Linked DNA regions of Rattus norvegicus. The protein of the gene in region 1 binds, or shares a complex with, the protein of each later gene. Links are inferred from orthologs where the notes say so. Each region holds a gene or a part of one and is shown on either strand. Other genes may lie near its edges. The genes, in order: Nup93 and Cetn3.

Region 1 (4,381 bases):
GTATAGACATACACATGCAGGCAGAAAGAAGTTCTATGCGGCTGACATGCTAATTATTGTGGGCTTCCTTGACCGATAAGTGTGTTTAGGTTCCCTAAGCATATCAGGCAAAGCTTAATAGAACACTTTATCAGGCAGGCATCCACCAAACTAGAATTATTAATGGTGACAATTTTATCTAGGCCTGTGTTCACATGTACCTCATTATGTCAGGTGGGTGACCTTCACTGAAAGATTAGACATGTCTGAGACTGTGCAACCCAAAAAATGCCTCTTTAACAAGTAAACGCTATTATGGGAGCTGAAGCAATGGCTTAGCATACTTCTCTTGCAAAGGACTTGTTGGGTTTCCTTCTTAGTACCCATGTCTCACAACCACTCCGGCAGATCCGATGACCTTTTTTGGCCCCCTTGGGCACAAGGACACACACACACACACACACACACACACACACACACACACACACGCACACACACACATTCTCCTCCCAGCAGTTGCTGAGATCTGTAGCTTGCCTGTACTGTTTTGTCTTTTCTTTTCTTTTCTTTTCTTTTCTTTTTCTTTTTTTCGGAGCTGGGGACCGAACCCAGGGCCTTGCGATTCCTAGGCAAGCGCTCTACCACTGAGCTAAATCCCCAACCCGCCTGTACTGTTATTTTTCTCTCAAACTTCCAGCAAAATTGTCTTCCTTCTGGGTCTGTTTTCAAATTTCTTTTTACTTACTAAACTAAGAACCTCCAGAAGGATTCTTATATATCCCAGTGACACACTTTGTTCCACTTCCCAACATGGCTACACTGAAGTAAATCTCTTTGAAGTTTCACCACTGTTCTTTTCTGTAATTGGCCTACTGGGGCAGGCGGCCAACCTAGCTTGCTTGTTCAGACTGCCAAAACACAGACTTTTCCCTTAAAAACTCCAAAACATGTTTTTAGCTTCCACCTTTTAGTCAGAATGTCACCTGAGAGAAGCCTTCCTTGGTAACCCAACCATTTTTCTTCAGTTAATTTGCTTTTCTGTTCTTAGCTCTCCTAATTACTCCTGTATTTATTCACTATATTTTGTTTCCCTGGCCAAGCTGAGAATCGTTTGAAGTCAGGGATCTTGTCTGCTGCGGAAGTCACCGTGTCCCCAACACCTAGAACAAGCCCAGGCACTTGCCTAGAGCTCTACAGCGAGTAGCTGAGCTCTCTGGTTTGGTCCAGCTGTGGGAACTGCGGAAATGCTTTCTCAAGTACTGTCAACCTGAACTACGTGGGCGGGAGAAGGGCGGAGCTCCCTTGACTTACTTGTAGCGACAGCTCCGCCCCTGGTTCCGCCCCAGCCCCGCCCACGTCTGTGTTCTCTTGCGGATCTCCATAAAGTTCACTTGGCGGCGCAACGCGCAGGGGCTTCTGGGAGCTGACCGCCTCAGCCAATCAAGAAGCGCGGGCGAGCGGCGCGAGAAGCGGCGGCGGCGGCGTAGTGAAGTAGCCGGGAGCTGGCGGCGAGCAGGCGGCAGAGCCAGGTAAGGCATGTGCGGCGTGGGCGACCACGCGACCCCGATCCTGGGCCTGGCCCGAGTTCGGGGTCTGGCCTCGAAGCAGAACCCCGAGCCTAACTCGAACTCCATCCTATGTTCGTAGCCACGAGGCTCGCGCTTCCTTTCTTGTGGTGGCTGGCTGGGCACGCCGACCGGCGACAGCTCACCGAGTGCTGTGACTAGGCTCTTCTGAGCGTGGTCCTTCCTACTGGTGCACTATCGCCACGCCCACCCACGGCTGCCAGGCGTCACTAGGCCTGGCTGCCCTCTGTGGGTCGTGGGGGGCGTTCTTCTAGAGAATGGCTTTTCCGGGTGAAGGGAGGCCACCCAGCGAACCCCTGTCAACTGTTGTCTCCTTTTACGGATAATCCAACAGGATGCTAATGGTTGCCACTCCGGTTGTCTCTTCTGTTTCTGGGTACCCTGTATCCTATCTTCTGTAAGGAGTGCCCAAATATATTGGGTCCCTTCTAAAAGAAAATCACAGCATGCCGGGCATGGTGTCACTGTCAAAGGGAGTTGGAGCCAGGCTGGTCTACATTAGACCCTGCCCCACCCCTACCTCACTAGATGACTTTCAGCACAAGCAAAGGTCAGCACTTTAGTAACAATAACAGTAATAATCATCATCATCATCATCATCATCATCATCATCATCATCCACCCCTAGTTCCCTAGATGACTTTCAGCACAAGCAAAGGTCAGTGCTTTAGTAATAATAGTAATAATAATAACAACAATAATATAAGCCCCCCCCCCATAGTGAGCTGTAAGGCTTTTAAATAATGTGACCCACATTCTCAGAGTCTGTTACACCCCCCCCCCCCCCCACCGCTACCACTGCTAGACATGCTTTGACTTCAGGTCTTAGTTCTTGTGGTTGGATGTCTGTTTTGCCAGCTCTAGAGGGGCATTTAGAGTGTAAACCTTTCCTCACTCCTTGTCTTCACTGCCTTAGTTGTATTCCAATATTTAGGTTCTACTCGACCTATGTCTTGTCTCTCCGCTGTAGAACATGAGCGCCTACCTAGAACCTGGGTCTGGCACACAATAAAGTAGGTGCTCAATAAATACCAAATAAATGAATGTTATTGATATCATTATAGGCTTGTGAATGTGGTGGTGAATGAGACAGGCTTGTTTCTTGGGAAGACATCATATATATAATATATATTATATATACATATGAGTGTATATACATATGTACATATATGTGTGTGTGTATATGTATGTATGTGTGTGTATACACACACACACACACACACACACACACACCATGAGAGATGAACTGTTGGAGCTGTGGTGAGTTTGGGGTCTCTGTCCCCCTCCCCCCTCCTTCTTGTGTGACTTTTATGTATATGGATATATGTATGGAGTCCAGAAGAGAGTGTCTGGTTCCCTGGAGCTAGAGTTACAGACAGCTAGCTGTAAATCACTGATGTGGGTGCTGGGAACTAAACTGGGGTCCTCTAAAGAGCTGTAAGTTTTCTTAACTGCTGAGCCATCTCTCTAACCCCTGGGCCTATGAGGTAGTTACATTTAGAAGTGTGGGTGTGTGTGTGTGTGTGTGACAGAGTAAAGATCAGGAAGAAGACCCAAGTCTGTTATGGTCACTGGTCATTTTAATTAGCAAACACATTTTTAGTTCTGTTGTGTGCCAGGCTTAGCTAGATGCTCAGGATTCAGGGTTAAATATTTGTGAACCTTTCCCTACAGGAAGACATGTTTGAGAAGAAGTGGTTGCAATTGCTCCACTAGGGAAGAACGTTCAGTATAATTAGGGAGTCCTTTGGGTAGGTTAGAGCAGCCCTCTGACTTGGCAGTATGCTTAGGAGCTCCCTGTGTCTGGTGAGGATGTGAGTGTACTTGACATGGACTGGAGCATGAAGGAAGGAAACTATGCAGAGCTTCCTAAGGCATAGAGAACTGTCAGGGTACAGCTGGGGAGGAGTCGAAGATGGTGCATGGCACTGTCTATTCTACAGAGCATGCAGCCAGGTCACAACCTGAGGTTGAAGGTGCCCCTGATGGTCTAAAGTAGGAGGTATTTTGGAATATCCACTTTGGCCACAGCAAGACTGGGTTAGAAGAAATGGGAAGTTTTAGGCTGTTGAGGTAATTGGAGGAAGTTATGAGGGTCAGAGCAGAGAGGAAAGGTGAGGGTGTGACTCGTTATGAGGTATGAGAAGTAAACTTGGAGATAGGCTGGGCTCGGGGGAGAGGGGAGCCAGATGGTTTCTGGTTAAATTGACTGTTGTGGGGACCTAAGATGAGGAACTAGAATTGTCGCTGGCACTCATAGATCAGTCAGGAGTAGCTATCAGATAGACGAGTAGAAAGAATTGGTTTGGAGAAAGAATTAGAATTTAAAGATGCAGGAGTTTTGTTTGTTTGTTTGTTTGTTTGTTTGTTTGTTTTTTTGCCTTATTTTATGGCCTCTTATAGTTCTCTCTCCTCTGTTTCAAATAACCTAAAGGTTGAAATGTTTTGTAGCTTTATACTTTGTATGCATTTGATTGTGTGTGTGTGTGTGTGTGTGTGTGTGTGTGTGTGTGTGTGTGTGTTGGGGGTGGTGAGATGCATGCCCATGCGTGTTTGTGGATGTCCCAGGTCAGGAGTCTTGAGGTTGGCGTTGGATGTTTTTGTTGCTTTTTGAGACAGCAACTCTCTCTGAACCTGGAGCCTACCAATTGGCTAGACCAGCTTACCAATGAGTCACCCAAGATCTACCAGTCTCTGTCCATCCCTCCCTCAGTGCTGGTGTCAAATTGATGCCACCACATTCAGCTTTATACATGGGTACTGGGGATTCAAACTCGCATCCTCACGCTTGCGCTGAACTCACTTTTCGCAGTCAG
Region 2 (4,608 bases), on another chromosome or scaffold:
TCATTGAGCGGAGGAAGCTTTACTTAGCATACAGGGGACAGCCAGAAACAGCTTATGAGCAACGAACATAGTCAAAGGATTCAAGAACAACAGGAATTAATGGTGGTGTAAAAGACAAGTCAGAAATGAGGACGCTCCAGCTATGAGACAAAGTCCCCATCTGTGATGGTCAATGACAACGAATAGCTAAGACACTGGACAGGAAGAACTCATGCTATGTGGAGGAGGGGAGCAGCAGCAAGAGAACAGTGGGTTAGGGAATGAGCTAAAGGAGGACCTCAAGACTGAGGCCAAAGCTTCAAAGTCTATTATTACTTTTAAATAGTCTATCATCTCGCTACATAGATTCTACCCCTATAATGTTAAAACTACTAAATGAACTTTTAAGGGTACTTAAAGAGATCAAAATGTGATCCTTCTTACTAGGCTGAACGTGAGAAATGTGTTCATAACCAATTTCCCCTTCCCTCTTTACTAGTAATTAAAGCCTTGGGTAGGACATTTTCCTTCTGCACGTAGCAACATTAGGCATCAGACAATTTATATCCTTTGTAACAGAGAAGAGTGTACTCTAAGAGTGTGCTAGTATTATCTTAAAAATTAAAAGTCAATCTCAAATGTCTGAGCAAAGTCAATGATCTCTCCATTTCAAAACTGTCAGTAAGAGTTCTCGCCCTAAAATCTTGAGGACCAGAGTTCAAATCCCCATCACTCATGTAAAGACAGGCATAGTTGTGGAGACAGCAGCGATCCCCAGAGTTCACTCTCAAGTGCTGAACTTCCAACTCAGGGAAATAGCCTGTCTCAAGGCAGTGGAGTAGAGTGATGGAAGATACACAGGCCCTATTCTGCCCACCACATGATACACAAGGGGATGTACAGGCCAGCAGGGGCACATGCATATGCCAAAAAATTTTGTTTTGTTAAAAATCTGAGCTATATCATCACACAGAAGAAAACAACTGTAGGAAGAACATGCTAAGAACTGTCCCTTTACTGGGTGAATGGAAAAGTTAGACTTCCCATCAAGATGCACTCTTACACTTAAATACAAGGTTCTAGAAGCCATACTCCATTTTTACTCCGTTTTCTTGTAGCACCTGTGGGTGGGCACTACAAACAGCCTCACAGTTCTGAAACAAGCTTCTAAAGTAGACTTTAAAGCAACAGGCACAAACGCAATTGAGTTAAACAAAAATGGATCTTAAATACCCTGTTACCTTTAATTCATGATAATCTATGGCTTGGTCTTTGTCGGTATCAAACAGTTCAAAAGCATCTTTAATTTCTTGCTTCTGTTCTTCAGAGAGTTCTCTTCGTTTTTTCCTTTTTGTTTTGTCTACTACAAGCTCACCTCTAGGACACAGAAAAATGCCTTTAGTCTACTTTAACCCAACTTAGGACAAAGAATCATTTTCTAAATTTCAACAGAGTAGTCTGGCACATAAAGAAACTGAGCCTAAGTTAACGTCCTGTAGTCCAAATGTACTTTTATAACCGAAATCCTAATCAAAGTTGAAAGCATCATACATATTATTCCTGTCATCTACCAAGAACATAAAAATAACCAAAAAAAAAAAACATACAAAAGTGAAATTCACAAATGACAACCAACTCACAATTACTACAAAAATCATCCATAAAACTTAAAAGATTACTTTAGCATTCTAAGTCCAAAATGTTTTTAGATTATACATTTCTAACAGTGCTTTGTGGTTTTATTCCACTGATATTAGCCAGGCAAACTATTAAAGGGCCTAAACATGCAAATACTAGGCGCCCAGAATCGCAGCATCTAATACTCGTGCTTAAGTCCACGACGTGATGTTTAAAAGTGTTTTAACTCTCACTTAACATGTAAACGATAGGTTAGACGTCTTCATTTAAAAACTCTGAAGTTTAAAGGAAATCTAAAAAGGGCACTTGGATCTGAAAATGTCTGCCTTAAGAGCTGCCAATGCAAAAAGCAGTCCAAATGTTTAAACGAGGATACGACACAACACGTGTATCAGCACGTTTTAAAAGATGGAAGCTTTAAAACCTCAAAATCTTAAAACTCGGCTGACTGTAACAGCGTCTCGTCAGGAACGCCCTCCGGGTGGACCAGACGTGGGAGATCAGTGCTGAGCGGGTGACGGTGGCAGCCAGGAATCTTTCTCACGTGACCCCAGCTCACACACACACACACACACACACACACACCCCCAGGCTAATGCGCGGTCACACACACACACACACACACACACACACACACTCGCCACACACCCACCCCAGGCTAATGCGCGGACACACACACACACACACACACTCGCCACACACCCACCCCAGGCTAATGCGCGGACACACACACACACACACACACTCGCCACACACCCACCCCAGGCTAATGCGCGGTCACACACACACACACACACACACACACACTCGCCACACACCCACCCCAGGCTAATGCGCGGACACACACACACACACACACACACACACACTCGCCACACACCCACCCCAGGCTAATGCGCGGTCCGGGGGCGCCTTTAAGTGTAGATGGACAGGGTGAGGAGCCAATGGGGAGGGGGGATGTCCGGAAGTGACTGGAGGGTGTCACGGAAACGAGATCCACCCAGGACGCCCAAAGCACAGCGTGCCACGGGACCCGGGCAGAAAGGCGAGCTCTCCTGTGACTTTCCGGAGGAAGCAGGCGGCCAGGCCCGAAACCCGCAGATGCGTGAGGGAAACCTCGCGAGACTTCACTCGGGGAGCGGCGCTGTGGGAGGCGGGGACCGCCGAGGTCTGATGCTCGGCACTCCTCGTCCGCTCCCGACTCGGCCTCCCTTCCACGCCCTCCCTGGCCCCTCTGGGGAACGGAGGCGCGGCCTCCTCGTTACCGACCTCAGAGCTAAACTCATTTTCTCTTCCGACAGAGGTGTTCCGCTCAAGGACTTTACCACGAGAACCGCTCAACAGCCACCAACCTCCACGGCCTCGGGGACCACCCACCTGACAGAAGTTTCTGGGTGCGATTGGCCGAAATTGCCAACAGCCGGCCCATTGGGGCGGAAGCGTCGATTGTCTTCTGTTTCCATTGGTCAGCATTCATGTCAGTCAAGTACACATTTCGCCCTGCTGTCTGTCTGACCCCTTGGATTGGCCAGATGCTTTCCTGAATCCTTTGCGCGCCTGTTAAGTCACCACGCGGGGTTCAGGCAGGCAAGGCTAGGCTCTACGGGTGACATGGTGCTGGAGTTCCGAGCACGCGTGCACAGCGTCGACCGAAGGAAGGGGAAGAAGGCACGGCACAAGCAGCCTGCTCAGACGGAGCAGTGATTGAGGAACCAGGTCTACAAAAAGATGTACAATTCTGGGTGGCTGGTACACCCGAGAAACTTAAATCTAAAGGTGATGTTCTCCAATCTTAGTTCAGTAACGACCAAGCTAAGCATTCTTCCCCGTACAGCTTTCCCAAGTGATTTTAAGGCAGACTGGATTAGTCTTTTCATTTTGTTGTTTTGTTAGGTCATGTACAGTGAGACTACCTAAACCATCCTTTTCTTCTGTGCGACTTGCAATGTATTTGTTTGCTTCTGCTCTTCACTTTCTAGTGCTGTAAACCTTGTGTGTGCATTCTATCTCCACTCCCCACCAAGCCTCTTGAAGCTTACTTCGATCACCAAGCTGCTAGACCGACTGTCCTCAAGGCCACAATTCCGTTTACACGAATATTTGTACCAAATGAAATATCTGGAACTTAGGTGTTCCATAAATACTTGATGCGTAAAACGAAGTCTTATTGTGGAAAACTTGGAAACTCCTGAGCTAACCAAGCAGTTCTTATAGGCATAAATACAATAAACTGGGGCTAGGTGTTAGAAAAGGGAAATACTATATCTAAATTTGTATGTGAAGGAAGGACACTGGGTAATTGGCTGTGTATGAGTTAAGCCTGGAGTGTAGATAGAAATTTGACTAGAGAGTTGGGATAGAACTAAAAAGTAATAGCTAAATGGTAGCATTCCCAAAACCAAAGTAGAGAAATGAAGAACTTGCTGGGCGTGGTGCTACATACTTTTAATCCCAGCACCCAATAGACATACAATCGGATCTCTGAGTTCTTTACATTGTGAATTCCAGGCCAGCCAGGACTAGTAGTGAGACTCTGCCTAAAATATAAAATTAAGTACTTTTATTTCTTAAATATTTAATGTTAACTATTTAGTGCACAGATATGAAGTTAAGTTAAACATTGTACAATTACCAGTGATTCATAAGTGACTGTTCTGGAGGCTGTACATAGATCATAGTGGTATGATAGGTAGAATAATAGCTAAGGCTACATCTTGGTATCCTGAAACCATAAATATGGTACCTAATAGGGGAAAAGATGTCTACGAGTCAAATTAGAATCCACACCTTGAGATATAATGTTAAAATGGGTCATGAGAGGGAACAGAGTCTAATCACAATGTCTAATTCTGACGAGTACAGGACTTTTACCCACCTGTGATCAGAGCCAGAAAAGACTTGTTAAGGCTCAGTCTGTTATCATGGTTTTGAAAACAGAGATGTAGAGAAGCATTCCCCTGAGTCATGGATGCTAGAAGCCGAAATCGAACA

What was found.
Region 2: Nup93 (region 1) and Cetn3 share a complex: the UniProt entries of both Homo sapiens proteins name them as parts of the nuclear pore complex. The link is inferred for Rattus norvegicus from reciprocal best matches to the Homo sapiens genes NUP93 and CETN3.

The regions. Positions count from the first base shown.
Region 1 is NC_086037.1:10,791,002-10,795,382, reverse strand, and holds the start of Nup93 (nuclear pore complex protein Nup93), read left to right. Parts: upstream 1-1,445; 5' UTR 1,446-1,508; intron 1,509-4,381. UniProt on the Homo sapiens protein: Plays a role in the nuclear pore complex (NPC) assembly and/or maintenance. May anchor nucleoporins, but not NUP153 and TPR, to the NPC. During renal development, regulates podocyte migration and proliferation through SMAD4 signaling.
Region 2 is NC_086020.1:13,823,474-13,828,081, reverse strand, and holds the start of Cetn3 (centrin-3), read right to left. Parts: upstream 2,992-4,608; 5' UTR 2,904-2,991; coding exon 2,887-2,903; intron 1,357-2,886; coding exon 1,221-1,356; intron 1-1,220. UniProt on the Homo sapiens protein: Plays a fundamental role in microtubule-organizing center structure and function. As a component of the TREX-2 complex, involved in the export of mRNAs to the cytoplasm through the nuclear pores.